3 linked regions of the Stegostoma tigrinum genome follow. The protein of the gene in region 3 interacts with the protein of the main gene of each other region in a pairwise test. Links are inferred from orthologs where the notes say so. Each region holds a gene or a part of one and is shown on either strand. Other genes may lie near its edges. The genes, in order: serine/threonine-protein kinase 3/4, mylipa and rassf5.

The links.
Region 1: the proteins of rassf5 (region 3) and serine/threonine-protein kinase 3/4 interact in binary tests that used the Homo sapiens proteins (3 or more experiments, as listed by UniProt). The link is inferred for Stegostoma tigrinum from reciprocal best matches to the Homo sapiens genes RASSF5 and STK4.
Region 2: the proteins of rassf5 (region 3) and mylipa interact in binary tests that used the Homo sapiens proteins (3 or more experiments, as listed by UniProt). The two-hybrid records come from large-scale screens. The link is inferred for Stegostoma tigrinum from reciprocal best matches to the Homo sapiens genes RASSF5 and MYLIP.

Annotation. Positions count from the first base shown.
Region 1 is NC_081372.1:9,269,125-9,279,117, reverse strand, and holds the start of serine/threonine-protein kinase 3/4, read left to right. Parts: upstream 1-5,352; 5' UTR 5,353-5,400; coding exon 5,401-5,432; intron 5,433-9,993. UniProt on the Homo sapiens protein: Stress-activated, pro-apoptotic kinase which, following caspase-cleavage, enters the nucleus and induces chromatin condensation followed by internucleosomal DNA fragmentation.
Region 2 is NC_081355.1:37,863,883-37,874,815, forward strand, and holds the start of mylipa (E3 ubiquitin-protein ligase MYLIP-A), read left to right. Parts: upstream 1-6,908; 5' UTR 6,909-7,348; coding exon 7,349-7,435; intron 7,436-7,986; coding exon 7,987-8,177; intron 8,178-10,933. UniProt on the Homo sapiens protein: E3 ubiquitin-protein ligase that mediates ubiquitination and subsequent proteasomal degradation of myosin regulatory light chain (MRLC), LDLR, VLDLR and LRP8. Activity depends on E2 enzymes of the UBE2D family.
Region 3 is NC_081374.1:17,293,667-17,303,752, forward strand, and holds the start of rassf5 (ras association domain-containing protein 5), read left to right. Parts: upstream 1-5,924; 5' UTR 5,925-5,963; coding exon 5,964-6,456; intron 6,457-10,086. UniProt on the Homo sapiens protein: Potential tumor suppressor. Seems to be involved in lymphocyte adhesion by linking RAP1A activation upon T-cell receptor or chemokine stimulation to integrin activation.

The sequences.
Region 1 (9,993 bases), on a different chromosome or scaffold from region 3:
GTTTGTGACAGTCCTTGTGTTAACTAGCCTCCTTTTCCTTGTCCAGTGCTCACAACCTTAGGCTCCTATCCATTGGCGAGGAATGGAAATTTGAGTGGGCTCAGACTCTCGCCCAGCTGTGCCACACTGTGTTTTCTTCCTTGTCCCAATTGTTTTGCAACTCAAACACAAATGCGTAAAGAAGTCGGGAGTGAAAAAAACTTTGTTGTGCCTAATGATTATGAGCTATCGCCCATAAGTGTCCTGTAGATTAATGTGATTCCTGGAGACTACAGGATAATCCCAGCGGATTTGCAACTTTAGATGTACCATCCGACCCAACTGTGTTTGTAGTCTTCAGTTGAATTTTCTGACACCAAAGTCTACAACCCATTCAATGAGCCCTTGACTTTAAATTTTAAAAAACTCTGAAAGGAAGTGTTTTTATCTAGTCTTGATGATCATCTTTTTCCTCAGTCTGCACGATTCTATTAATTTGCTGCTGAAGGCATGGGCAAATTTGAAAATATGTGGGTGTGTTCATATTCCTCTTTTTTTAAAACATGACTCCTTAAAAATTTTACTGCTTAAATCCTCTCAGTCATCGCAGGCCTATAGAAAATGGCCAGTTTGGTTCTCTGTATTGCAAAAAAGCGGCAAAAACTCTATCTCATGATAGGGTAAGTAGGTGAGAATGGGAGAGCAGTTATTTCTTGAGATTGATCTGGGAGGCTGGAACAAAAATGCCCTAAAGAGGAATACTATGTACCCACTCAATATCTCCCTGAGGCTAGTCTGCACTTAGTGACAATCTCTATATCACCTTTGCGTGGAAACCACTGGTATGGCCTTCTGAATTAGAGGAACAAGTACACACAAATCTGATAATTTTTTAAAGTTTGAAAATGGAGCAGTGACTCATTTGATGAGCTGGATGTGAAAATACACTACAGCTGTAGGTTTTGGCAAACATTGTGTTCTCCCAGTTGCATTAGGAGTTGTAAGTTGACAGGGCAAAGTGAGACCATATTTAATTTACCTGTCTGTTAATGTCCTTAAACAGGAGCTATATGAACATTACAATGTAATAACCTGCTACTTGATAAACATTTTAAAATGAATCCAGGAAATTTAAACAAAAGAAAAATCACCTGGACTCAAAACAGCTTTTGTTTGCGATTCGTTGGAGCCTAACCAGTCTGGTTGGAACTGGGTCATGCCCTGGGAATAGAATTAGTAAATCAGGCAAGAATCTCTGCATCTCTAGTTTTTACCTTTAGAATTTTTACTTTTTGTGTGCCACGTCTGTGGGACTCAACAATACGCACAATTCAAACTTATGTCATGTATTTCTTTAAAACTATTTAGGTGGTGTATGACATGCTGCTTTTATGAAATATCTGAACTTTATTTCCCAATTTCACTGTTTTCTGTGTGAGATTTGTCATTAAAGTCTTGTCTTTCAAATGGATCCCTCAAAACAAAGTTAAATTCAATGTGGAGAGCAACTGATGCCATTTAGTAAATTTGATGTATATTTCCTTCTATGCAAGTGATTCTTATACTGCTTAGAATAAAACACTTTTGTCATGACCAACTAGGCATTCATTGTTTGTTTTTTTTATTTTGTGATGTTCAAGTCCCTTGCTTTCATGTGTGATTACATTTCTAGGCTGTAGTGGTGATGGAATTGGGAATGCGGAGTGCGCAAATCCCACAGTGGCAAATTAGAATTGAAACTTGTTAGTGTGCTTGAATCCTGGACGCCTAGCACTCAAACTGGAATTCCGTTAACAAACATTTAGAGCTGGACCCTCAAATACCAATCTCTACAAAGCAAATCCAGAAGTGATGCCATCCACTCCAGCAAACTGAGATACAGAAACATTAAGTGGGATAGAAAAAACTTACCAGCTCAGTGAGCAGGAATACCTCTCTCTCTTCCCCCTCTCTTTCTGTGTCTGGCTGACAGCCTATGCAATGTGAATGTGGCATTTTAAAAACTCCTACTTTAGAAATTAAACCAGTTTGACTCCAAACTAAAACACTGATTCTAATCAAGGTTTCACACCTGACACGCTTTAAAATGTCACTGCCTCTTTACGCTGATAAAACCTTTGGTCCTTTCAGCATAATCCAATTATCACCTTTCAAGTCATTATCTTGTTCCTTTTTTTGAAGTCTCTCCTCTGACGCTTCATTGGAGGTGCTCACAGAGGACATTTTTTGTTTCCCAGTGAATTTCATTCTTAAATGTTACATTTGTAAGTTAAGACTGGCTGTAGTTTTTGCCTGAAAAAACGACTTGTCTAAAAGTTCAATATATCCATAAGTAATTCAGCTTTCTGATCCATTGTCATGAAACCACACATACACCTACTTGTCAATGTCCTATTTAAATCTTAAACTGACCCCTTGACAGATCTAAGTTTTATACCATTTGCAAATTTTGAAATTGTGCCTGTACATCAAATTCTGGGTGATTAATATATATCAGGAAGAGACAAACTATTTCTTCTGATGAGTTGGAGCCTAGAATAAGAGAAGATGATTTGGTTCAAAATGTCATTGTCCATTGTGAATATAAGCTTTTCCCTGCTTTAGCTCATTTCTCTGGAATTGAGTAGATTAATATTTTCTATATGTATGTGTGATGCATCATCTACCTTAAGTTCATGAATGGCCAAAAATATTCTCTCTGACCTATTCACACAAGTCAATTTATGATTGCATAATGCTTTGTAAATTATTTTATACTTTTCTGGAAGATAAATCATTATATTACATAGTCTTTTAAGCACCTTAGCATTATCCAATCAGACTGATAAGATAGCAAATTCCTAATCTTTTGGATTATAACTGCATTGATGGATATTATACTTTTGGTAACAGGACGAGGGGGATCTAGACATATACCAAAGGCCAATGTACCACAAAGCAATGCAACTGAGGTCTCCCTATCCGAAAGCTTGAATGAAACAAATTCAGTGGTTGCTTTTGGAAAATAATTGGATAAAAAGTTGAGAGAGGGAGTAACTAGGACAATGAGGGCGAGAGCAGGAAGTGATGCAATTCAAAAATACAGTATAAATAAGATGATCTGAGTGGCTACTTTCTGAGACTTTTTTCTGACTTTTGCAAAGTGAGAATCGACTAAAATTCCAGATTTTGGACAGGTCAGAACAGTTCTCCACTTAGAGAAGAATTTGATAAAGATGTTCAGTCATGAGGGTTTGGAGTAGACAGGGATAAATTGTTGACGCTTGCATAGATAATTGACCAAAGAAGTAGTAGTGACAAGAAGAAAAAAATTCCACACTGTGGATGGAATGCGCTGTTTCACATTTTTTGGTGACAGGTGTCAGTTCAGTGGAAACACTTAGGAGGGATCATTGACTGAAAAGGAAAAATGTACAGGGCTGCAGGAATTTGTAAAGAGATGGTACTCTTTGGGGAATTGATCCTTAATGGGGAAGACTATATGAGTCAAATGAACGTAAAATACTGCAGATGCTGGAACTCTGAAATAAAAACAAAGTGATGGAGAAACTCAGCAGCATCTGTGGAGTAAGAAATAGAATTAACGTTCTGAGTGCAGTAATGGCCAAATGCTGTTGGTCCCATTCTATTGATAACAAGGTGTGGAGCCGGATGAACACAGCAGGCCAAGCAGCATCTCAGGAGCAGGAAAGCTTTCCTGCTCTTGAGATGCTGCTTGGCCTGTTGTGTTCATCTGGCTCCACACCTTGTTATCTCGGATTCTCCAGCATCTGCAGTTCGTATCATCTCCAGTCCATTCTATAATTCGTTGTTGAGGTGCAGTGCTGGAAGAGGGATGTGGTCAATGCACCGACACGGACTGAGGCCAGAGCAATGCACGATGGTAGACAAATAGAGGAAAAGGCCATTCGGTCCAACCACTTGATGCTGGTGTATCTGCTGCATCCGTATGGGAATGAAAACAATGGAGGAGAACTGAAACAAAGAAACCTACAGCACAGGAACAGGCCCTTTGGCCCTCCAAGCCTGTGCCGATCAAGATCCTCTGTCTAGCCTGTCATCTATTTTCTAACGGTCTGTGTCCATTTGCTCCCTGCCCATCCATGTACCTGTCCAAATATATCTTAAAAGACGCTAACGTGTCTGCGACTACCACCTCCGCTGGCAAAGTGTTCCAGGCGCCCATCACCCTCTGTGTAAAGAACTTTCCACGCATATCTCCCCGAAACTTTCCTCCCCTCAATTTGAACTCATGACCCCTAGTAATGCAGTCCCCCACTCTGGGAAAAAGCTTCTTGCTATCCACCCTGTCCATACTCCTCATGATTTTGTAGACCTCAATCAGGTCCCCCTCAATCTCCGTCCTTCTAATGAAAATAATCCTAATCTATTCAACCTCTCTTCATAGCTAGCACCCTCCATACCAGGCAACATCCTGGTGCACCTCCTCTGCACCCTCTCCAAAGCATCCACATCCTTTTGGTAATGTGGCGACCAGAACTGTACACAGTATTCCAAATGTGGTCGAACCAAAGTCCTATACAACTGCAACGTGACCTGCCAACTGTTGTACTTAATACCCCGTCCAATGAAGGAAAGCATGCCATATGCCTTCTTGACCACCCTGTTGACCTGCGTTGTCACCTTCAGGAAACAATGGACCTGAACACCCAGATCTCTCTGTTCATCAATTATCCCCAGGACTTTTCCATTTACTGTATAGTTCGCCCTTGAATTTGATCTTCCAAAATGCATCACCTCGCATTTGCCCGGATTGAACTCCCATCTGCCATTTATCTGCCCAACTCTCCAGTCTATCTATATTCTGCTGTAATCTCTGACAGTCCCCTTCACGATCTGCTACTCCACCAATCTTAGTGTCATCAGCAAACCTGCTGATCAGACCACCTACACCTTCCTCCAAATCATTTACATATATCACAAACAACAGTGGTGCCAGCACAGATCCCTGTGGAACACCACTGGTCACAGGCCTCCAATTTGAGAAACTCCCTTCTACTACTACCCTCTGTCTCCTGTTGCCCAGCCAGTTTTTTATCCATCTAACTAGCACACCCTGGACCCCATGTGACTTCACTTTCTCCATCAGCCTGCCATGAAGCTGAAAGGGTGGGTGCAATCAATAGAAAGAGAAAGTTAAGGGAAAGAAAAGAACAAAATCTGGTTGCGAACTTTACTGCCATGCACTTCCATCCCGTTGCAATTGCAGAGCCAACTATATTTCCGCCCCACACGATGGAAGGAACCACTTCCGCCCCGCTAGTGGCGTCTGTCGCAACGTCCGCCCCCACTGGACGTGGATCGACGTAGCTTCCGCCCCGCAAATGCGTCACTTGGAGAGTTTCCGGGAAGGGGATTTCCGGCTCGAGGCGGAAGTGAACAGTATAGGAGCGGTGAGACATGGAGGAGGTCCAGCGGAGGCATCCGCGGCGGTAAGAACCCAAAGAGGGAGAGCGGGAGGAGGATGTTCGGGATGCTGGGGAATGGGTACGGGAAAAATGGCGAGAGGAGCGAGGGCTGTGGTTGTCAGGGCAGAAATAACCCCCTTGAGGGCCGTCAATTTCGTTCCCCCGACTTAAGGACAACTACCCTGCTCCCCTCCGACTTCTTTCCCCACCCCCCCATTCCCCCCCCTTCTTTTCCTCCCCCTCCTCTTCCCCCCCCATCTCTTCTCCCCCCCCCACCCCCACTCCCCCCCCCACCCCCACTCCCCCCCCCCCACCCCCACTCCCCTCCCCCACCCCCACTCCCCCCCCCCACCCCCACTCCCCCCCCCACCCCCACCCCCACTCCCCCCCCCCACCCCCACCCCCACTCCCCCCCCCACCCCCACTCCCCCCCCCACTCCCCCCCCCACCCCCACTTCCCCCCCACTCCCCCCCCCACCCCCACTTCCCCCCCCACCCCCACTTCCCCCCCCACCCCCACTTCCCCCCCCACCCCCACTTCCCCCCCCACCCCCACTTCCCCCCCCCCACCCCACCCCCACTTCCCCCCCCCCCACCCCACCCCCACTTCCCACCCCCACTTCCCACCCCCACTTCCCACCCCCACTTCCCCCCCCCACCCCCCCACCCCACCCCCACTTCCCCCCCACTTCCCCCCCCACCCCACCCCCACTTCCCCCCCCACCCCACCCCCACTTCCCCCCCCACCCCACCCCCACTTCCCCCTCTTCCCCCCCACCCCCTCTTCCCCCCCCACCCCCTCTTCCCCCCCACCCCCTCTTCCCCCCCCACCCCCTCTTCCCCCCCCAACCCCCTCTTCCCCCACCCCCTCTTCCCCCCCCACCCCCTCTCTCCCCCCCACCCCCTCTTCCCCCCCCCACCCCCCCACTCCCCCCCACCCCCCCACTCCCCCACTCCCCCCCCCACCCCCCCCACTCCCACCCCCACCCCCCCACTCCCACCCCCACCCCCCCACTCCCACCCCCACCCCCCCACTCCCACCCCCACTCCCCCCACTCCCACCCCCACTCCCCCCCACTCCCACCCCCACTCCCCCCACTCCCCCCCCCACTCCCCCCCTCCCCCCCCACCCCCACTCCCCCCCCCACTCCCCCCCCCACTCCCCCCCCCACTCCCCCCCCCACTCCCCCCCCCCCCCACTCCCCCCCCCACTCCCCCCCCCACTCCCCCCCCCCCCACTCTCCCCCCCCACTCCTCCCCCCCCACTCTCCCCCCCCACTCTCCCCCCCCCCACTCCCCCCCCCCCCACTCCCCCCCCCACTCTCCCCCCCCACTCCCCCCCCACCCCCACTCTCCCCCCCCCACTCCCCCCCCCACTCCCCCCCCCCACTCCCCCCCCCACTCCCCCCCCCACCCCCACTCCCCACTCCCCCCCCCCACTTCCCCCCCCACCCCCACTCCCCCCCCCACCCCCACTTCCCCCCCCCCACCCCCCACTCCCCCCCCCACCCCCACTCCCCCCCCCCACCCCCACTTCCCCCCCCACTTCCCCCCCCACTTCCCCCCCCCACTTCCCCCCCCACCCCCACCCCCCACTTCCCCCCCCACCCCCACCCCCACTACCCCCCAACTCCCACCCCACCCCCCCCACTTCCCCCCCCCACCCCCCACCACTTCCCCCCCACCCCCACTTCCCCCCCACCCCCACTCCCCCCCCCACCCCCACTCCACCCCCACTCCCCCCCCCACCCCCACTCCACCCCACTCCCCCCCCCACCCCCACTCCCCCCCCCACCCCCACCCCCACCCCCCACCCCCCACTCCCCCCCCCCACCCCCACTTCCCCCCCCACTTCCCCCCCCACTTCCCCCCCCACCACTTCCCCCCCACTTCCCCCCCCCACTTCCCCCCCACTTCCCCCCCACTTCCCCCCCCACTTCCCCCCCCCCACTTCCCCCCCCCACTTCCCCCCCACTTCCCCCCCCCACTTCCCCCCCCCACTTCCCCCCCCCACTTCCCCCCCCCACTTCCCCCCCCACTTCCCCCCCCACTTCCCCCCCCCCACTTCCCCCCCCACTTCCCCCCCCACTTCTCCCCCCACCCCCACTCCCCCCCCACCCCCACTCCCCCCCCACCCCCACTCCCCCCCCACCCCCACTTCCCCCCTCACTCCCACTTCCCCCCCCACTTCCCCCCCCACCCCCCACCCCCCCAACCCCCACTTCCCCCCCAACCCCCACTTCCCCCCCAACCCCCACTTCCCCCCCCACCCCCACTTCCCCCCCACTTCCCCCCCCCACCCCCACTCCCCCCCCACTCCCCCCCCCACTTCCCCCCCCCACTTCCCCCCCCACTTCCCCCCCCACTTCCCCCCCCACTTCCCCCCCCCACTTCCCCCCCCACTTCCCCCCCCACTTCTCCCCCCCACTTCTCCCCCCCACTTCTCCCCCCCACTTTCCCCCCCCCACCCCCACTTCCCCCCCCCCCCACTTTTCCCCCCCCCACCCCCACTTCCCCCCCCCACCCCCACTTCCCCCCCCACCCCCACTTCCCCCCCCACCCCCACTTCCCCCCCCACCCCCACCTCCCCCCCCACCCCCACTTCCCCCCCCCCACCCCCACTTCCCCCCCCCACCCCTACTCCCCCCCCACCCCTACTCCCCCCCCCCCACCCCCACTTCCCCCCCCACCCCCACTTCCCCCCCCACCCCCACTCCCCCCCCACTCCCCCCCCCCACTCCCCCCCCCACTCCCCCCCCCCACTTCCCCCCCCACTCCCCCCCCCCACTCCCCCCCCCCCACTCCCCCCCCCACTTCCCCCCCCCACTTCCCCCCCCCCACTCCCCCCCCACTCCCCCCCCCACTCCCCCCCCCACTCCCCCCCCCACTCCCCCCCCACTCCCCCCCCCCACTCCCCCCCCACTCCCCCCCCCCACTTCCCCCCCCACTTCCCCCCCCACTTCCCCCCCCCACTTCCCCCCCCCACTTCCCCCCCCCACTCCCCCCCCACTTCCCCCCCCACTCCCCCCCACTCCCCTCCCCCCCCACTTCCCCCCCCACTTCCCCCCCCACTTCCCCCCCCACTTCCCCCCCCACTTCCCCCCCCACTTCCCCCCCCACTTCCCCCCCCACTTCCCCCACTCCCCCCCCCACTTCCCCCCACTCCCCCCCCCACTTCCCCCCACTCCCCCCCCCACTTCCCCCCACTTCCCCCCCCCACTTCCACCCACTCCCCCCCCCACTTCCACCCACTCCCCCCCCACTTCCACCCACTCCCCCCCCCACTTCCACCCACTCCCCCCCCCACTTCCACCCACTCCCCCCCCCACTTCCCCCCACTTCCCCCCACTTCCCCCCACTCCCCCCCCACTTCCCCCCACTCCCCCCCCCACTTTCCCCCACTCCCCCCCCCCACTTTCCCCCACTCCCCCCCACTTCCCCCCCCTCCCCCACCCACTTCCCCCCCCTCCCCCCCCCTTTCCCCCCCCCTTCCCCCCCCCTTTCCCCCCCCCTTTCCCCCCCCCTTCCCCCCCCTTTCCCCCCCTTCCCCCCCCCTTTCCTCCCCTTTCCTCCCCTTTCCCCCCCCTTTCCCCCCCCTTTCCCCCCCTTTCCTCCCCTTCCCCCCCCTCCATTCTCCCCCTCCCATTCTCCCCCTCCCATTCTCCCCCTCCCATTCTCCCCCTCCCATTCTCCCCCTCCCATTCTCCCCCCCCCATTCTCCCCCCTTCCCCCCCCTCCCCTTCCCCCCCTCCCCTTCCCCCCCCTCCCCTTCCCCCCCTCCCCTTCCCCCCCTCCCCTTCCCCCCCCCTCCATTCTCCCCCCCCATTCTCCCCTCCCCCCCTTCTTTCTTCTTGCCCCCTTCTCTCTGAAAATGGGTAATGATTGTTCCTCGACACGACAGATGGGGACTGAATGGGCTGAGTGGCCTCCTAGGCTAAAATATGATTCTAGTAGAATGACAGTAACATCACGTTTAGTTCTGTATGGCCTGTGTTGTCAAAGAAAAATGTGCACAGAAGGTGCTGGAGAACCTCAGCAAGTTTGACAGCGTATGCGGAGATAGAAGCAGTTAACTGTTTCTGTTTTTCAGAACCCAGTTCCCAAGAAGAGAATCATTTGACTTGAATCATGTCTCTCTCTGCAGTTGCTGCCAGACCTACTGAGTACTTCAGCACTTTCTCTTTCTGTTACAGATTTTCAGCAGCCAGAGTGTTTGGCTTTAGTTAAGATTATGCACTGTCTCATCTGATACTGCCACATGGCTGCAAACAAAAATCCCCCTTCATCCTTCTCTGACCAAGAAATCTCCAGGAGAAGGAATTTCGGGTGAATTCCGATCTGACTCACGAAGGACACTTGATAAATTTCGATAGAACACAGACCCTGGATGAAACATCCCCCAAAATTCAAGGGATTTATTCACTTCCCTTTCGAATGCTCCTTGTGAATTCATATTCAACAAAACGTGGCAACTGATTCCACAAGTGGCTAAACCTGCAAAAGGAAATAATTGCCTCACATCTTTGAAACAAAAATTGAACTGGTTAGACAGCTCCTGATCAGCACTGTACCAGATCCAAATTCA
Region 2 (10,933 bases), on a different chromosome or scaffold from region 3:
AAAAGGCATGGATTTAAGGTAAGGAGCAGAAGGTTTAGAGGAGACGTGAGAAAAGGTCTTTTCACCCAGCAGATGAGAGGAATTTCTGTGCCTGTAAGGATGGAACAGGCAGAAACCCTCATAACATTTAGTAAGTATTTAGGTGTGCACTTGTGGTGCAAAAGCATACAAACCCATGTCCAAGTGCTGGAAAATGGGATTAGAATTGTTAGGTGGTTGTTTTGGACTAGTGCAGATGTGATGGGCCAAGAGGCCATTTTCTGTGCTGTATATATATGACTATGACTCAGGGAATTAGGAAGGAATTTATAAAGTGGGACCTCAAAAGTACTAATCTCTGGATTATCCACATTGCCACATGCTAGTGAGCATGAGAATAGAAGGACTAACCAATTGAATATGTGATTGAGATAACAAAGTGTGAAGCTGGGTGAACACAGCAGGCCAAGCAGCATCTCAGGAGCACAAAAGCTTTTGAGCTCCTGAGATGCTGCTTGGCCTGCTGTGTTCATCCAGCTTCACACTTTGTTATCTTGGATTCTCCAGCGTCTGCAGATCACATGATCTCTGAATATGAGATTGAACTGTTGTAAATGGGAGGGCATCAGATTTCTGAGGAATTATGGCTGGTCTGGGGCAGATGGGACTTGTACAATCCAGATGTATTATACCTTAATGGAACTAGTGATTACATATTCAGGGAGATTTGCTTGTGCTGTTGGGCTGAGTTTAACCAAGCTCATCAGGAAAATGGGGTGTTTGACAGTTAGGAAAGTCATACGGCAGTCCCTTTGGTCCAACTCATATGCAATGACCAGATATCTTAAACTAATCTGTCCCATTTGCCAGCTTTTGGCCCATATCCCTCTAAATCCTTCCTATTTATGCACCCATCCAGACATCTTTTAAACATTGTAATTGTATCTGCCTCCATTAGCTCCTCTGGCAGCTTGTTCCATGCACGCACTACCCTCTGTGTAAAAAGAGGTGCTGCTCAGGTCCCTTTTAAATCGTTCCCCTCTCACCTTAAACCTGTGCCCTCCAGTTTTGGATACCCCTACCCTGAGAATCTCAGCTTCCCTATTGTGGGTTATGTTAAAGGAATTTTCAGCAACAATACTGGGCACTCGTGGCAGCTAGTGGTAGGAACGTCTTTTCCCATACATTTGTCATAAATAATAATTGCAATCATTAAATCACAACACTTCCAAATCAAAACAGAACGTCAAGATTAATCAGCAATGTACAGGAAATTTGGGCCACCTGATTGTCAACCAGGGGAATCAGTATGTTAGTACCGGAGAATCTCAGATTGGAAGAACAAGTGTGTGGAAACTATTTGGGGCAGAGCAAGGGAAAAAGAGAGAGCAGCAGATCTTGATGGGAATTATTTATAGGCCACCAAACCACAATGATTAGATGGGGGCATCGTATTAACCGAGGAATTAGTGGTGTAGCAATTACAATGTTTAAAAAGGATCTGGATGAGTATGTAAATAAGAAGGATTTAGAGGGATATTGGTGAAATGCTGGCAAATGGGATAAGATCAGTTTAGGATATCTGATCAGTGTGGATGAGTTGTAACAAAGAGTCTGTTTCTGTGCTGTATGACTTTCCTAAACATCAAACATCCCACTTTCCTGATGAGCTTGTTTAAACTCAGTCAACAGCAGAGAAGCGGGTAGCATAGGCAACACAGTTATCATTGGTAACTTCAATCTGTATGCAGCTTGGTAAACCAGCTGAATACTAAAGCTGTGGAGGACAAATTTCAGGAGTGTGTTAGAGATGGTTTTATACAGAAGTATGTTGAATATCCAACAAGAGGACATGCTAATAAAAGTAAAATACTGCAGATACTGGAAATCTGAAAGAAACACAGAATGCTAAAGAAATTCTTGCAGAAGGTGTGGAGACAGTTAATGTTTCAAGTATTAACATGGATACAAAGTTGGCTGAGTTATAAGAAATGGAGAATAATAGTGAATCATTTGGATTGAGGAAGGTTGTCATGGGATTCTTCAGGGGTTATTGTCAGGATTGGTGCTTCTCATTTCTCGTAATGATCTAGACTTGGATGTGCCACTGAGCATTAAAGGTGTGGGGTGGATGTTGAATCTGCTAAATAGAGTGCCAATAAAGCAAGCTGTTTTGGCCTGGATGGGTTTGAGTTTCTTTAGTGTTATTGGAACTGCCATGACCTGGGCAATTGAAGAGCAGTGCATCACAAGCCTGATTTGTGCTTTGGAGATGATGAACAGGCTTCAAGCAGTCAAGAGATGACACACTTACCATAGATTTCCTAGCTTCTGACTTGCTCGTGTAGCTACAGTACTTATTATAGCTGTTCCAGTTCAGTTTCTGGTCAACAGAACTCCTTTGGATGTTGATAGTGGGGGAATTCAGTGATGGTAATGGAATTGAACATAAAGGGAAAATGTCCAGAATCTCTCATTGAAGAATATCATCAACTGGTAAATGTTACATGCTACTTTTTAGCCCAACCCTGGAATGAAATACAGGTATTTCTGTGTTTCATTAACGCAAATTGGGTGTAGTGCAATTGATGAATACTGGACGCTGTTTAGATAATGTGAACTTTCTTCTGTACAGTATAGCAATTTCCAAATAACTATTTTCTACGGCGATTTTCTATAGCACAAAGTTGCACAAGAACGTAACTATTGTGTTATAGGAGAAATATCTATAACTCCATAAAGGCCAGTATCCTGCCACCAAATCACCCTTTAGTTGCACGTGGAGAATCCTTAACACTGATTCAACTCTCAGAGCGTACATGATGTCTGACACTCCTGTTCTTACCTATCAGCCAAGGTTCCCTGATTGGGGCTGATAATGTGGTCCAAACAAAGATTCTATGAAATTCAACTGGCTGACCTCATTACAATCAATATGTGGATGTTGTTCAGATGTTGTTGTAAATGTGCACCTTTATTTAACACTTTAACAACTCCTTAACTATCTGAGAAGATGTAAATGGTGCTGAGTATTGTGTAATCATCAGCGAACATCCACAGTTCTGACTTTGAGTAAAGATAAGTCATTACTGTAACAAAAGAGCAAAAGGTTATTGGGAGGTAGGTGGGAATGTAAAGTAATCAGATCAGCCATAATCTTACTGAGTGGCAGAACAGATTGAGAGAAAAGGTACAACACAGTGTGGAGCTAGAGGAACACAGCAGGCCAGGCAGCATCAGAGGAGCAGAAAAGCTGACGTTTCAGGTTGGGACCCCAAAACGTCAGCTTTCCTGCTCCTCTGATACTGCCTGGCCTGCTGTGTTCCTCCAGCTCCACGCTGTGTTATATCTGACTCTAGCATCGGCAATTCTTACTATCTCTGAGGGAAAAGATAGCCTATTTCTGCTCCTATTTTGTATAACCACAGCCATCTTCCCTTATGTTGCTCTTAGAGACAGGCAACATGGTCCAAATAGAGCAAAGGCTGTTTTTTGTGTTTTACTCAGAGAGGCAGAGGGAACCAGGTGTAAATGTGCATAAATCAGAGAAGGTAGCGGAGCAAGTTGAGGACATTGTTATTGAGGCTTATGGCATTACAAATTTTGTCAATAGGGCCATAGAATGTAAAACAAGTTAATTATGTTGAAACTGTATAAAACATTATTTTAGTTTCAACTGGAGTGTTGGGTCCGGTTCTGGGTAGCACATTTTAGGAAGGCTGAGAAGGCATTATGAATGGAACAGAAAAGATTCACAAGAATGGTTCCAGGAAGGGGAACACTAACTACATTAACTGGAGAAAGAGGGGATACTTGTTCATGTTTGGATAATGTTATGCACCATTCATGACTCCTTAGATACTGAAGCAGTCCGTGCCTGAATGCAGTAAGACGTGGACAATATGCAGGCTTGGGTGACAAGTGACAAGTAACATTTGTGCCATACAAATGATCAGGCACTGATCGACTCCAACTAGAGAAAATCTAACTGTCATCCCTTGACATTAAATGACGTTATTATCACTGAATCCCCCACTACCAACAATCTGGGCGTTACCATTGATCAGAAACTGAACTGGACCAGCCACATAAATATTGTGGCTACAAGAACAGGTTGGAAGATATGCAGGTTAGGTGGACTGGCCATGCTAAATTGGCCTATAGTGTCCAGGGAGGTATAGGCTAGGTCGATAAGGCATGTTAAATGCAGGGTTACAGGGATAAGGCCAGGGGTTAAGGCTAGGTGAGATGCTCTTTGGAGGGCAGTGTAAACTCAATGGGCCAAATGGCCTCTTTCTGCACTGTTGAGAGTCTCTTATGCTATGAGAAGCAGTGAGTAACTTACCACTGACTCCCTGAAACCTGTCCACCACCTACAAGGCACAAGTCAAGCATATGATGGAATACTCTCACCTACCTGGATGACTGCAGCTCCAACAAAGCTTGAGAATCTTGACACCGTCCAAACTGAGGTTTTTGAGGAAGTAGTCAAAGAGATTGATGAGGGCAGAGTAGCAGACATTGTTTATATTTCAGATATTGGATTTAAGTAAAACCTTTGACAAGATCCTGCATGGTAGAGTATTTAGTAAACTTACATCATATGGGATTCAGGGTGAACTTACTGAATGGCCGAACAAAATTGGGTCAAGCTGCTTGGCCTGCTGTGTTCATCCAGCTTCACACTTTATTATCTTATGATGGTGGAGGGTTGTTTTTTGGACTGTAGTCCTGTGACCAGTGGTGCTCTACCGGGATCGGTCTGGATCCCCTTCTGTTTGTCATTTATATAAGTGATTTAAGTGAAAATTTGAAGGCAAGGTTAGTCATTTTGCGAATGATACCAGAATTGGTGGTATAACAGACTGTGAAGAAGGTTATCTAAGATTACAAAGAGACCTTGATCAATTGGGTCAATGGGCTGATGAGTGACAGATGGAGTTTAATTTGGATAAATGTGAGGTATTACAATTTGGTAAAACAAACAAGGGCAGGACGTGTACAATAAAAAGTAGGTCCTTTAGTAGTGTTGTAGAACAGAGAGACCTCGACGTTCAGGTTGTTTGAAGTTTGCATTACATCTAGTCAGGGTGATTAAGAAAGTGTTTAGCATGCTTGTCTTCATTGCTCAGATCATTGAGTATATGAGTTGTGCTACGTTGGTGAAGCCTCTTCTTGGAATACAATGTCTAGTTCTGGTTGTCCTATTATAGGAAGGATATTATTAAACTGGACAGGATTCAGAAAGATTTATAAGTATGTTGCTGGGAATGGAGTGTTTGAGTTATATTGGAGAGGCTGGACAGCCTGGGACACAGTGGAGTGTATGAGGTTGAGGAGTGACCTTATGGAGATTTATAAAATCATGAGATGTTTAGGTAGGGTGAATGACGAGTGTCTTTTCCATGGGGTGAAGGATTTCAAGTAGAGTGGGCATATTTTTGAGGTGACAGGAGAAAGATTTGAAAGAGATATAAGGGTCTTTTTTTTGGAATAAATTTCCAGAGGAAATGGTGGATGCAAGTATAGCTGCAATGTTTTAAAGACCTTTTGAGAAGTACACAAATAAGAAATGTTGAAAGGGTTATGTGCCAAGCGCAGGCATGTGGGAGTGGTTTAGTTTGGGATAATAAAGTGTGGAGCTGGATGAACACAGCAGGCCAGGCAAGCAGCATCTTAGGAGCACAAAAGCTGATGTTTCGGGCCTAGTCCCTTCATCAGAAAAGGGGGATGGGGAGAGGATTCTTAAATAAATAGGGAGGGGGGGGGAGGCGGACCGAGGATGGATAGAGGAGAAGATCGGTGGAGAGGAGAGTATAGGTGGGGAAGTAGGGAGGGGATAGGTCAGTCCTGGGAGGATGGACAGGTCAAGGGGGCGGGATGAGGTTAGTAGGTAGGAGATGGAGGTGTGGCTTGAAGTTGGAGGAGGGGATAGGTGAGAAGAAGAACAGGTTAGAGAGGCGGGGACGAGTTGGGCTGGTTTTGGTATGCAGTGGGGGGAGGGGAGATTTTGAAGCTTGTGAAATCCACATTGCTACCATTGGGCTACAGGGTTCCCAAGCGGAATATGAGTTGCTGTTACTGCAACCTTCGGGTGGCATCATTATGGCACTGCAGGAGGCCCCGGATGGACATGTCATCTAAGGAATGGGAGAGTTAAAATGGTTCGCCATTGGGAGGTGCAGTTGTTTATTGCGAACCAAGCGTAGATGTTCTGCAAAGCGGTCCCCAAGCCTCCACTTGGTTTCCCCAATATAGAGGTAGCCACAACGAGTACAGCGGATGCAGTGTACCACATTGGCGGATGTGCAGGTGAACATCTGCTTGATGTGGAAAGTCATCTTGGTGCCTGGGATAGGGCTGAGTGAGGAGGTGTGGGGGCAAGTGTAACACTTCTTGCGGTTGCAGGGGAAAGTGCCAGGTGTGGTGGGGTTGGAGAGGAGTGTGGAGTGGACAAGGGAGTCGCGGAGAGAGTGGTCTCTCTAGAAGGCAGGCAAGGGTGGGGATAGGAAAATGTCTTTAGTGGTGGGGTTGCATTGTACATGGCAGAAGTGTTGGAGGATGATGCGTTGTATGCGGAGGTTGGTGGGGTGGTTTGGGATAATGTTTAGTTTGGACTGAAGGGTCTCCTTCCATGCTGTATGACTATGATGTATTCTCCGTCCACTACTGATGCTCAGTGGCAGCATTGTGTAACACCAGTTTCCTTCCAAGCCACTCGCTATCCTGACTTTTCTGATGAAGGGTCTAGGCCCGAAACGTCAGATTTTGTGTTCCTAAGACGCTGCTTGGCCTGCTGTGTTCATCCAGCTCCACACTTTATTGTCTCTCACCATCCTGACTGATTTATTTGATTAGAGATTCCACGGAAAGAGCCTGTAATCCCACCGTGGCAGATCTCACTGAGAACACTGATGATCTCAGCGATAAAATTCTCACTGAGAGCCGGTGATCTCATTTGAAGAGACTCGATCCAGCTTTTTTCGGTTTTTCCCTTCAATCTACGTGTTTTCCTATTGGTCAGAGAGCAGTAATGCTTTTCTCCAATTGGTTTTCTGCTGTCTAGCTGACGTCAAGCCGGGTATTTGTGGGAAGAAACTAGAACCGAGCGTCTAGAACCTGGACGGCGGGCTGTATATGAGGGTACTATCTGCTCCTAGGTCCCGGAATCGAAAGCCGGGGGTTTCCACCGGGTCAAGGCCTGGAGCTGGACAGCTGTATGTGAAGGGGGCACAGTGCTTGGTACCGGCGGCCCAGGCTGGTCAAGCCCGTCTGAGTCTCGATGCCAGTTTGAGGGGAGGGAGTGGGGGTGCTATCCGCAGTATCGAAAAGGACAGTGATCCGGATCCCTGGGAGTCCTGCTATCGCCATGCTGTGCTATGTGACCAGGCCCGACTCGGTGGTGATGGAAGTGGAGGTGGATCCGAAGGCGAACGGCGAGGACTGTCTGAACCAGGTAAGGCCCGGATCGCTTCCCCGGATTTACTCTGTGCCACACGATCATCAGGAGCAGGAGTAGACCATTCGGTTTCCATCTCCGCCATTCGGGAAGGTTTCGTTTTTGGCCTTGACTCCACATTCCTGTCCGTCCTCTCCCGCGAATACCCCACAATTTATCGCTGATCAAAAGACCCACGTTGATTATTAGAGCTTGGTCCCGATGTAACGTCCTTTGGATTTTTTCTCAAAGTCGAACTGCCCATTTGAATTGTTACGTTCTTTTCTAAAGTAGATATTGTTTTTAAATCTGCCCTTCCTCCCCATGTTTACAACCAGTTAACTTTCTTAAGAGCAGATTGTAGTACCCTCTGCTTTGTTTTGCCTCGGGTTCCCACTCACTCGTTGCGGCGGAGGGAATTTATCGTTCTGATTTGGGAGTTTACATTTTTCTTTTTAATTTTAGAGGTAGGGAGGATTAGTCTGTGTATTTTGGAAGATGGGACGGTAATTCAATCATCCCTTTTTTTTTCAAATAGTGTAAGGGGGTCTCTCCTTTCTCTTGCCCAGGTCTGCCACAGGCTCGGCATTATAGAGGATGACTATTTGGGTCTGCAGTACTCTGCGAACAAGGGGGAGACACTGTGGTTGAACCTGAGGAACAGAATCTCTCAACAGATCGAAGGGATGCCTCCTTATAGATTCAAACTCCGAGTTAAATTTTTTGTGGAACCTCATCTCTTACTTCAGGAGCAAACTAGGTGTGTTTCTTAATAAATTGGAGCTTTTTGTTGGCTTAAATGAAATATTGATACTTAATCTTCTTACTTTGCGTTTCGCATGTGTTTTTTTTAAAATCTCGTTGTATCGACTTGAACAAACTTAATGATTCCTTGCTAGCCTGTTCTTGTACTTTCAGATGACCGATAGTAACCTCGCCATTGCAGTGTTATTATGGGTCATAGTTGCAGAAACTAGCGTTCTAACTGTAATCAGGCACTACTGGGTCCTAGCGCTCCGAGCTCATTACGTTGAATTTATTCTAAATCTCGGGTTTAGCTGAACTGATATGCGTGTCGGTGTGGTATCGGCAATTTTGATTCTGTTTTAACTAATTTGAGGTAAATGTCAGATTCGGACATCCACCTTAGTTCACGAAAAATTCTTTGAAAGAGATTCTTGGGGAATGGAGTTTTTTTTAGTTGAAGAATAGTGGTAAACGAGTGAAAGCTTGAAATAATTTTCCAAAAGTGGTGTTGTGTAGTGTTTAGTGCAAGAATTGAAACCAGACAGAATGGTTTATTTCTTAAAGCTTGTATGAATTACCATTGATCTACAAAGGCTTTGGTTTGACTGAATTGACAGGGCATTGTTTTTAACCTAATGCAGAAAAGTGTACTTTTTTTTTCTTGTTTAGCTTTGGGCATGTGGGAGGACAATTCTGTCATTGCTGGTTTTGGTACGACTGTGGTCCAGCTCTGCCCCACTATTCCCCAGTGCAAGCTCTATTAAATGCTGTCTCTTGTAATAAGTTCTCAATTGAGTATTGAGAGAAGCAAAACCGCCACCAGCTTTGCATAAACTTCGGGTGTTATGTCCATGGTTTTATTGCTTGGCTGTGTTTTTAATGTCTTGTGGTGATTTTATTTGATCCCAACCCGAATAGTTTAAATGTCAGATCTTGGCTCTTCCACCAATGAATTTGAATATATTCAGAAACTTTAAGTCTAACTAACAAAATGTGAAACAAAAAAATTACTTTTGTTTCATTTTGAGTGAGTTGACTGTTTGTTACCTTTGCTGACTGTTTACTCCCTGGTGTAAAGCCACCCATGGTGTTGCCACTGGGCCATAGTACAGCAAGAAAATAAGTAGGTTTTGATGTCAAGATTGGTAGCTTCTGCTTCAAGATATTTGTTCTTTTTTCTGCTGGTTTCAGAACTAAAATTGCAGGATGATTGAATATAGCCTGCAGGCAATTTTCTTTTTGTCCCCGGCCAAACCAAAACAGTTTCTCCCTGAAATCAACAAACAGCAAGTATGTTATCTAGTCTGTAACTTTTTTGCTGTTGAATTAGCTAGTTGTCAGCAAAATTACTAGATATGGTGGGAGTAGCTCACCTCACTTGTACTGTGTCCAAATCAAGCAGAGATCAAAACTTTTTTTCAACGAATCATATCTTGCATTCAGTTCTTGATGGCAGTTCAGTTTAACATACTGTCTCATCGCCACACTGACTATTTTCTTCAGCTCCCAACACAACAAAGAGGCTTGCATTTATGTCATGTCTTTCAGGACTTTTTTTAGTCATCCTACAAACAGTTGTATGGCGGATCTGTGTTTGCTGTGAGCTAAATATTAGCCAGGGCATTAAAGAGATTTGTAATAATGGTGGAAGTTTTTAACATCCACATACTTGACTATTTTGAGTCCAGCCTGTTCTGAGTCTAAGACAAGAGTCCTATCCATTGAGTCTTGGCTGCCAGCTAAGGTGTCCGACTGATAGTATATTTTACAGCTGTTCCATTGTTCTTGTCTTGACTGTATTTTAAGTGAAAACTTTGTACTGATTAATTTTGTCCTTTTTTTTAAAAATTTTTTTTGGATGTTTGAGCACCACTTGGTCTATGTGCTCCCTTGATCAGTAACTATTCATAATGTGCTAATGTTGAAGTAGGGATCATGCAACTGGACCATCTAGATTTTGTCACCTTCCGATAAGAACTTGAAATTGATCAGGTGCCTGACTTATTCTAGAATTTCATCAGATAAATGAAGAAACATTGGACAGAGGTGTGAGTGCAAATGCGTTCCTGAAATCGACTGGTTTTTGATGTCAAGTTTAAATTAGTCTGCCAAAAAAAACCCCTGACCCATGGGGTGTATCCAATCCAGTGAAAAGAAAAAAAAAACTTACAAATCAGTTGCTGAAAAGGAAACACAGTTTCGATATCACAAAAACCATAACAGTCAACAGTACAATTCAATATCAAACATTAAGTTACATGACTAACAAGAAAATACAAAAATTCCAGAATACAGTGAATAACCCAGAGTCCAGCAGGCTAATAATTTCTATATTGAATAAAAAAATTAATTCTTAGTAATGCCCTGCTTTCTCAAATGTCACTTCAATATCAGTACCTCAAACAAAATTCTAAATCAGACCACCTGCTACAAAAGCCATGTAAAAGGTTTTTGCTGAAAGCAAACTGAATTCACTGCCCTGAATGTTTTGAAACTTGGTTTTAATTCTGACCCTGAAGGAATCCTGGAACTTTATCTTTTATCTGTATGTAAACTGTCATCTTGCACAAAATGTGAGTGAGCAATTTGTAGATAAAGTTTTTCTGGCATAGCACTCTCGGGGTTCACTGTGCATTTGCTCTGGCTTCCAATTGTGTGGCAGCTGTTGAAGAATTGACAATAACTGTGGTCCTGTTTCAGAATCCATGCTGGGGGGAAAAAAAAGTGCAATTTTGCTTTGAAGATGAGGTATCATTCTTTACTACTGGC
Region 3 (10,086 bases):
GTCTGTTTCACAGAGCAAAAGTAATTTTTGATGTTTCTTTTATCAGAACAATATCATGATGTCAAAATCAAACATTCTGAAGATCTTGGATGTCAGTACCAATGTGAGCTGTTGATTATTTCAACACTTGAAATTTGAGGATTTCAGTATTTTCATCGCAATCATAAATATACTTCAGCTACCCCATCCCCAACATCATTAAATCCTGCAAAACCAGTTTTCTCTATGTGGATAGTTCAAAGCTTGCACAACACCTCGATAAAACTACATCTGAGGAAGTGAGGCAAAAATGACCAAATCATTTTTTCTTACTTCATGTGGAAAATGTTTAATTTCTATGTTGCATCTTTTCTTGGGAGCCCTTCTTCACATAATGCGCCAGTGGCCTACTCACAATGGAAATTTTACCTGCTATACATACGTCAACTTAATACATATATATAGTGCTACAAATACACTTCAATATTAATATGTCATAGAGAAACTCGTTTTAATTTTTTTTGAAAACTATTTGGAGTGGTTTCTTTAAAATAGCTCATCAACAGTCAATGTGGACATGGGAGATTAAGGTACTTTCCTAATCAATTTGTTCAGAGATATTATTACCCACCTCTGGAACAAGTAAGACTTTAACCTGGGCCTTATGGTCCAGAGGTAGGGACAACACCACTGTACCACAAGAGATTTTATTAACAAGGCTTTCTACAAATTGCATGACTGGTGATAACTGCTTGATATTTCTGTACACCATTGTTGGGATTGTTTTGAATAGAATATGGCTTGGAGAGTTTTTGGTTTTTATCTGGTCTTCAGTTAGGGAGATAAGAAGTCTGCATGGAAGGGCTGGCAAGCTGATCGCTCCCATTTCAGGGAAGAAAACTCTCTTGTCAAATTCGGGGTAAAATCTAAGTGTTCTTCTGGAAGAGTGATTGGAGAAATGTCTCAATATCGTTCTTCCTGAGTCAGCTGTGCCTGTAAGACATCTGAGATAACTATACGACTAGTAATTTGACCACACATGACAGAACATCAGAAAAACATACTTTGGAATATTCTGGTGAAAAAGGCAGAAGATATCAGCAGTCATAAGTCCCACTCCCAAACCTTGCATCCATTTGCAGGGATGGGATTGAGGGCTATTTGTAGTTTGCACGTGCATGTTTTATGGAGGTACCTGTGCATTTACATAATCAACTGCCTCCGCGGATCATTATGTGTGGAGAAGATAGTGTATAAAAGACGCAAAAAACCCTTTACAATTGTCAAGACCTGTCAAAAAGTATCAGCCTGGCAAGTTCTGTCAAGAAGGTTGGTATGTCAGGATTGTCAAGAAATGTTGAGAAATGTGAACAACTATCCAACTGGCATACGGGAAGAAGTGTTCACCTGTCATGAGCTGGCGAGACCTGTCAAAATGCATTTTTATGAGTTAAAGTGCTTTTTTAAATAAAGTATAATTATCAAACGAAACTTCAAGTAGTGGAATTTTCTCTTCTCCTGTGTGCATTAGTTATTATGGATACTAGCTCTGTTGATATGGAGGGTAAAGGTGGAAAGGATGATGGTTGGAAGTAGATATTAAATTGCTTAAGGTTTTTTGAGAGTCCATTGGGGATGGATAGAAGGGTATAGCATAGCAACAGGGTATTAGGAACCATGGTGAATGGGTGGAGGAGTATACCATGGCAAAGAAGGTACAAGGAACCATAGTAGGTGGGTAGGGGGAATTAGGTGAGAATCGTCAAGTACAGGAGTATGCGGGTGAAGTGGAGTGAGGGAAGTGGAAGGGGTGAAGGATAGAACAATGTTTTATATTTTATTATTTTACTTAATTTCTGACAACCACTGAAAACACAGGGCAGGCTTTCTACCTGGCCCACTTTGGGAACTAGCAGCCTTCACAGCTCTTCCAGAGTTGCTGGCTCAACTCTCAATCTAGCCCACAACCTATATCTACCCCAGTCTGAAAATAGGAAACGTGGCTCACTATTTTGAAAGATCAGGTTCACAGAGGTGGGATTTCTCCCAGCTCTGTGCATATGATGTGGGGGCAAAATTAGGACCTATGCTTCTATTTATAAAGCAGAGATCCCTTATGCCTAAATAGTTGCTTTGTTCATCTGCACTGCCACCTGTAATGAATTGTGCTTGAGCACGCCCAGAACTCTTCCTCTACTCCCTCATATTTTATCATTTAACATGAAATATATTTCTAATTTTTCTTACCCAAATGCACTATATCTCATTTGTATTGAGTTTTATTTGCCTTGTAAAAACCGAAAACTGCGGATGCTGTAAATTAGGAACAACAACAAAGTTGCTGGAAAAGCCCAGCAGGTCTGGCAGCATCTGTGAAGGAAAAATCAGAATTAATGTTTCGTGTCCAGTGACCCTTCCTCAGAACTTTGTTTTAGTTCATTTGCCTTGTGATTAAACATTCCACCAGTCTATCAAAGACTGCTTAAGCCTATTACTATCTTCTATACTGCAAGTTCCATGTCATCTGTGAATATCAAATCAGTGCCCTGAATTCCCACAAATTAATATAGATCAAAAAGAGAAGTGGTTCTAGTACTTAGCCTTGGGAATTTCACTATGTATCTTCATCAGTCAGAAAAACTTGCCATTCATGCTGCTACTGACCACGATATCCCATAAACCTCAATTTTGCAAAGAAGCTTTTTATGTACTACATTTTCAACAACGTTTGAAAGTTCATATACACAAAAACAATTCCACAGTCTTCATTCAGCCGTTCCGTGCTCTCATCAAAAAATACAAGCTTGATCATTGAACATATTTTGCCATCAATAATCCTGCCAGTTCTCTGTTATTCATCGATGTTTTTCCAGTGTGGCATGGTGGCTCAGTGGTTAGCACTGCAGCCTCACAACACCAGGGACCTGGGTTCAATTCCAACCTCAGGCGACTGTCTGTGTGGAGCTTGCACATTCTCCCTGTGTCTGCGTGGGTTTCCTTCCTTAGCCAGTCCAAAGATGTGCAGGCTAGGTGGATTGGCCATGCTAAGTTGCCCATAGTGTTCAGGGGTGTGTGGGTTATAGGGGGATGAGTCTGGGTGGGTTGCTGCAAGGGGCTGTGTGGACTTGTTGGGCCAAAGGGGCCTGTTTCCACACTGTAGAAAATCTAATCTAAAAAGTAGCTGTCAATTTTCTCTTGGATTATAGATTCTGAAAGCTTCCCTACTATTGACTTTAAAATATCTGGTCTGTGATTGCCTATATGATTTATCCTTCTCCCCTTTTTTGAAGCAGGGTGTTATCATTTGTAACCCACAATTCTTCACTCAGCAAAACAATCAAGGACAATTGGAGCAATTCCCAAATATAACTGAATTAAAATGAACTATTCTTCTGCAATTTGATTTTCATTTCAATTTTGCTAAATCTACTCCTTTTCACTCCTTTTATTCTTCTTTCTATATCTCTACATTTTGTTTGACTATCAATTCAGCCAATTTTCTTCTCACCTTCTCAATGAGTATTCCTCCATTATAAAGTGATAAAGTCAAACAGATATACAGCACAGACGCAGACCCTTCAGTCTAGTCCATCCACGCTGACCAGATATCCTATATAAATCTAATCCCATTTCCCAACATTTGGCCCATATCCCTTGAAACCCTTCCTATTCATATACCCATCCAGATGCCTTTTTAAATGTTTAATTGTACCAGCCTCCACCACTTCCTCTGGCAGCTCATTCCAACCTCTGCATGAAAACGTTGCCCCTTATGTCCCTTTCATATCTTTCCCCCAGCACTAGGCATGTGACCTCTAGTTTTAGACTTACCCACCCAAGGGAAAATACCTTGCTTATTTACCCTATCCATGCCCCTTATCATTTTATTAACCTCTACAAGGTCATCCCTCAGCCTCCAAAGCATTGGGGAAAATGGCCCCAGTCTATTCAGCCCCTCCCTATAGCTCAAACTGTCCAGCCCTGGCAACACCGCTGTATATCTTTTCTGAACCTTTTCTAGTTTCACAACATCCTTCCTACAGACTGGAGACCAGAATGGCATGAAATACTCCAAATTCTCTTTCATTAAGGAGATGATGTTTACAAATGATATTGACATATGGCGTCCTCATCAAATCAATGTTCTTGAAATGCGAGATACACAATATTGAAATAATAATCGTGAGGGTGGAATTCCACTTAATAATGTTCCATGCTGTGAAACTCACCATTGCAGCGTTTTCTGATGTAAAATGTGTGTAATTGCACACATAGCTATGTCTCGCTATTCTGAGGCAACACAGTGAATTAGGCTGTTAATGGCAGAAAGAAAAAAATGAGCAGAAAAGAAATTTTAAAACAGTAAACTAAAGTTAAAAAGTGAGGACATTTTAAAATGAATAATACCAAATAGCTTCTCATGTCGACAAATAATCCCCACTCAGATGTTCATTAAGTTTTAAAGTAGGTAACTAGAGAGAAGTGAAACACCACACCAGATAGAAAGTAATGACGTTCTAATAGACAGTGTTTTTCATGATCACCAGCCATATATCTTAAAGCACAAGTAATGATGTCCTTTTGAAGCATTCTTATTGTAAAATTACAGGAAAAATTGCAGCAATTTTTGCATTGAGAATTCCTATCAACAACATTGTGATAGCAACTAAATAATCTCTATGGCATAGAGTGATAAATATTAGCCAGGTAATTGGGGATAACTGCGCTGTTCTTCAAAACAGCATCATGGGATCTTTGATGTCCATCTATGAGGCCATGTGGGTCCTAATATTACATCCAAATGACAATGCAGCATTCCTTAGAATCGCATTGGACTGCCATGTTTAGATTTCTGTGCTCAAGTCCTTCAGTGGGAGTTAACCTCCTGAAACCAAGGTGCTGTCCAATTGAAGGAGATAATGGGAACTGCAGATGCTGGAGATTCCAAGATAACAAGGCGTGGAGCTGGATGAATACAGCAGGCCAAGCAGCATCTTAGGAGCCCCTAAGATGCTGCTTAGCCTGCTGTGTTCATCCAGCTCCACACTTTGTTATCCGCTGTCCAATTGAATCTCACTTTAAGAATTGTGTTGTTTTGAATGTTTGGAGTGGTTATGAGCAGTGTTAAAAGAAAAGGGGCAGCGGTAAGGTGTAGAATGGGGCTCAGTCCTGATGCTCATTTGACCAACAGTTCTGGGTGAGCCTGTATTCACTGGAGAAAAGAAGAATGAAATGCTATCTTACTGAAACATGTAAAATCATTAGCAGACTTGGCAAATGCAGAGACGTTGTTTCCCCTTCTTGGAGAGTCTAGGACCAGAGGCATAATCTCAGAATCTGGCTCATTTAAGACAGAGGGAGAATTTTTATTTTAGAAGGCTGTTGAGGCTGTGTCATTAAGTAAATTGAAGGCTCAGAATATCAGACTTTAAATATCAGACTTTAAATCAGTAGGTGAATAAGGGTTTATGGGGAAAAGGCAGTAAAGTGGAATTTAGGATCATCAATGGTCTCATGGACTGGCAAAGCAGGTGGGTGGGCTGAATGGCCTTCTCCTGCTTCTAAGTGTAATGGCTTTCCGGTCGATGACCCGAATAGCCTCCACCCGCATCGTTAGAGTTGTGCGATTCTGAGTCAAGGTTGACAGGCAGATTTCCCTGAAATCTGGGGTTAAGTACAAGAAAACAAAGAGAGAAAAAAAACCCGACCTTTCGGTGGGGGGGGGCGAGGAGTGGTGTGGGGGAGGAATTTCAAACACAAACCCCGAGTGACGACGTGCTTTACCCGAACGGAGCTAACTTCCCCCGTGACTGTGGCCTCGCGGCTTGTCCACTGCGGAGTGGCGAGGAGGCAGGGCGCGGGGGAGGGACGTAGGGAAAGCACGCGCCGCTCTTTAAAAGGTAGCAGTGCGCGTTCAACGCCTCCAACTGTCAGCTGCAGGAGCTCTGCGCGAGAGCGTTTGGTTGCGCCGATTCATTATCATCATGCCCATAGCGTCAGCCTCGCAGTCGGCGGCAGCACCGCCGTTGGGAAGGGCATACTTCGCCGCGTATCCCTTCGCCCAGCTGCTAGAGGATTTCACCCCCGGCCACCAAAGGCCGGGGCTACCGAGACGTCTCTCCGGTGACATGCGGTCCGGGGAGCTCATCCTGCGCTGCGTTCTGCTCGGGGGCAACTGCGGCGAGATGCCGGCACACTCGACCAGTCCCGGTCTGGTCAAGATGGCCAAAGCAGGTGGAGGAGCTGGCGGTGGTGCAGGAGCCGGAGGAGGAGGGATGGCGCAGGGACGACGAGTCAGGGTGAAGCAGGCTGCGCATCGACCCCGAGATGTCCGGACCATCTTCCTCCAAGCGGAGGATCCCAGAGTCCCGGAGGAGAAGGGAGAGGGACATTGCTTCGGTCGATGTTCCGTGTACACTTGGTGCGACTATTGTGGCAAGGAGATCCCCCTGTGCAATGAAGCTGTCAGGTGTAAAAGTGAGTTCCTTGCAATTGTAATTCCATGGCTAATATACTGATTGGACTAAAATCGACAATCGTATTTGAAGTTTGTATTTTTGCTAAACATTGACTTTACTAACTATCTGACACGTGACATCTTCAAATTTGTTATTATGCATCTATGCAATCTAACCGTAAACATGCATGTATTGATACTGACACTGTTCCCACGCCTCTGCTTGTGTGGTTGTGAAGCAGTTTGTTGATTTCAGTCATGTGCGATCAGAGTTACCTCGATTTTCCGATTTTGACTTCATTTTCTTCAGCACAAGTCATCCATACAGAAACAGCTTCGCCTCACCCTGTCAGGTAGAAATCTGGAGTAGGAGGGAACTGTGTTTTAGTGAAATATGCGCGTGGTAACAATACATTCGTGATCTCTTTGTTCAGCTGACAGAACCCATCTGGTTTTGAAAAGGTAAATCAAACTGTGGAAACCCAATCCATCAAAAGCATAATAGTGTGATTTTTTTTTTCCAGTGGACTTTGAATTCCAAACCAGTTATGGTCAGCTTCTTCCCATGGAGACCCCACCAGTGCAGTTTGGATGTGGGAAGACCAACGACAGCAGGGGGTGAAAGGCAGGAAACCTGCAGAAGTGAGAGGGTAGAGGAGATGAGCAGCCTTTGAGCGTGCCATCCCATTTGGGATCCCAGCCTCCACATTAAAAACTTTGGAGTATTCCAATTCCTGTCCAGAAATATCACTATTGTCACAATTTTTGGTTGTGCATTTCTGTTGACATTTACTGTTGCAATTGTTATGTAAACATCATTTGCTCTTGCATTGCTAAGGGGGTTGTCACAGATCTTGACAACTAGCTTGCTGTGTAGAGCAAGTTTCTGAAACCTCCTGGCCATGTAAAATCCTGTGAGCGTTTGTCTGTCTCTTCTATTGACCCTAGGAAATGCAGAGGGTGTTGGAAACTTAAGAAACGGTAGTTTAATCAAAAGAATTTAGTGTGGCAAAATACTACTGGATTTTGTGCTAAAGGACAAATAAGTACGTAAGGAATAAAATTATAGTTTCACTCCAAGAACTTCAGAAACTTTCTCTTGTTTAAGGTTTTAGCAAAGAGTTGTAGTTCGGGTTGTGGGTGAGATTGTTGACTTGCTTGCCGAGCTGGCTTATTTTCGTTCATTTTGCCACCAAGCCAGGTAACATCATCAGTTAGGCCTCCGATGAAGCAATGTTGTTTCTACTCTGCTTGGAATTTATCCTGTTGGGCCCATTGTGGCGAGTAGTCATTTCCGGTGTTGTTTTGTATGGGTTTGTATGTGGAGTCCAATTCTATAACATACATGAATATCAGCAAGCAGCAAAACAACATGACAAACTTCCCTTAATATCATTACACTCTGACAACAAAGATCATCAGTTCAACTGGGACAACATAACCATAGTAGTTCAAACCAAACAGGCATACATAGGAATTCCTAGAGGCATGATTCTCAAATGTGTAATGTAATCAGCAAACCTATAGAATTGGACCCCACATACAAACCCATACAGAACAAAACCCAAAATGACATTATTCACCATAATCGACCAGACAGCATAAATTCCAAGTGGAGTAGAACAACATTGCTTCATCAGAGACTTGACTGATGATGTTACCTAGCATGGTGATAAATCATCTGAATGAAGACAAGCCAGCTCAGTGAGCAAGTTAACAATCTCACCTTTCTCTTGCTGATTATACAAGTCAGGGAAATATACTTTTTGGTCTATAGATTGGGTTGTGTAGCTAGACAATTTTACATTATATCCAAAACAGTAAGCATTTCTGTTTTTAGAAGTTTTATTTTTTGTTGTGTATGGCTAATATATTAAATTTTTCTGAATGATGCAGTACATGCAATGGTGTGGCCCATTTCACAACAAGATCTGTTCCATTTGAACTTGATTGATTTCAGGTCATTTTAATACCATTTAATTACTGTCCAGTTTAATCCTGAGAAGCAGGGTAACTATTAAGAAGGTAATTTCAAATTAAAGCACATGCCTCCTGAGAATATCAATCTCTTAAAAAATAATTAATGATATGTGGTAATAAATGATGATAGTTGAGAATGCTGACCAATTTCAGATTAATTTTGGGACCCTGATAGTTTTAGTATGTATCTAACAGTCTAAGTGGCTTACCTGGTTACTCACAACTGGGGAGGAAAGTAAACTCCTATCTCTCTCTCTAATTAAAAGATGTAAAACCAGACACTGGGAGAAATTATAAAACAAGTCTTTGTTTTTTTAAAAAAATCTAAATTGATTTTCAGATTTAATCATTTATTTTGAAAATTCCAGAGAATGTGGAATAGAAACTTCACACAGGTCACCAATGATTTCCTGGAACTAGTCTGTCAAGATTTAGCACAGCTGCCACCTTGATGTCTGCTGGAATCTGATGGCTACCTGTCTCTTCGGTTGGAAAGTCCTGCTCCAATAGAGAGCACAGTTGTGTGATGGGGCATCTTGGTCTTTGGCATCAATGCACCTCACTTATCAGGAGGAAACAGCATTGAGAATGATAGACTTTGCATCTCTGATAACTTCTCTGCATCCTGATGGACTTACTGCTGCAACACCTTTTTTGTGTGGAGACTGTTTGACATCCTCCAAAGGTTGCTGCTAGTTGTGGGCTTGCTATTATATTTATTTCTTCTCATTTCTCTGCATCATCAGTGTACAACTGCCACTGTGAGGATGACACCTGCTGTCATTGGACTGTGTTTTTCTGGGGAATTTTAGATACAGAACTGGTCCTTTGTAGTTTGAACAGTCAGCATTTGCATCTCTCAATGCAGTGGACTTTGTAGGACTCTGATAGTGAGGCTTGTGGAATTACTCAGTACGTGGAACTTTTGACAAAGTTGGCCTTTACTCTGATGAATGCAGCACAGGTAATGCTGCACTAATACAGTAACAGATTACGTGCAGCTAGATTACAGGCCACCACCACTATCAGCACTTATCACCAAAAGTGAAGGCTGCAGTGCCTATTCAAATGTTGGTGAATACTTGCAGCTCAAGGCAAGAGGAATCAGCTTTGCAGCATAGTTTGATCTGTGAGGCCTTAGATTATCTTAATGTCCATTGTGGCCCACATGTGACTCTAAGATCGCCTTTGATACTACTGCTTTACAGAGGTGATTATGTTCAATTTATATTGAGCAGAGTCATTGTCAAGATTTCTTAATGAGTGAGTGTTTGATTAATCCAGTTGCCCCTGGAAGGGCCCCACATCACTCAAAAGTAAAGCCCGAAAAAGTTGTCTAGGATTTCAGTCATTTTTCGTTCCCATTGTGCATGGCAAATTTGGATGCAAGTGGAAAGCAACATAGGGTGCACTTCACAGTGAGTTAAAGGCTCAACCTAGTAATCTAAATGACCACTGTACCGTCCCCAAAAGTTTTGGTGGTCTTTTCTTTCTTGCACCTCCTGTCCACATAGTCTGGGCTTCCCTTTGTTTGCACCCAACTCTCTTTATTAGGTTTCCATCTCCTTGTATTTCCCCTGAGCCCTGGGCTTGCACTTTGGGTGTGTCAACCCTAATGTTGCACTGATGTCTGACATTGAGACACACGTGCCCACACAGACACAGACACA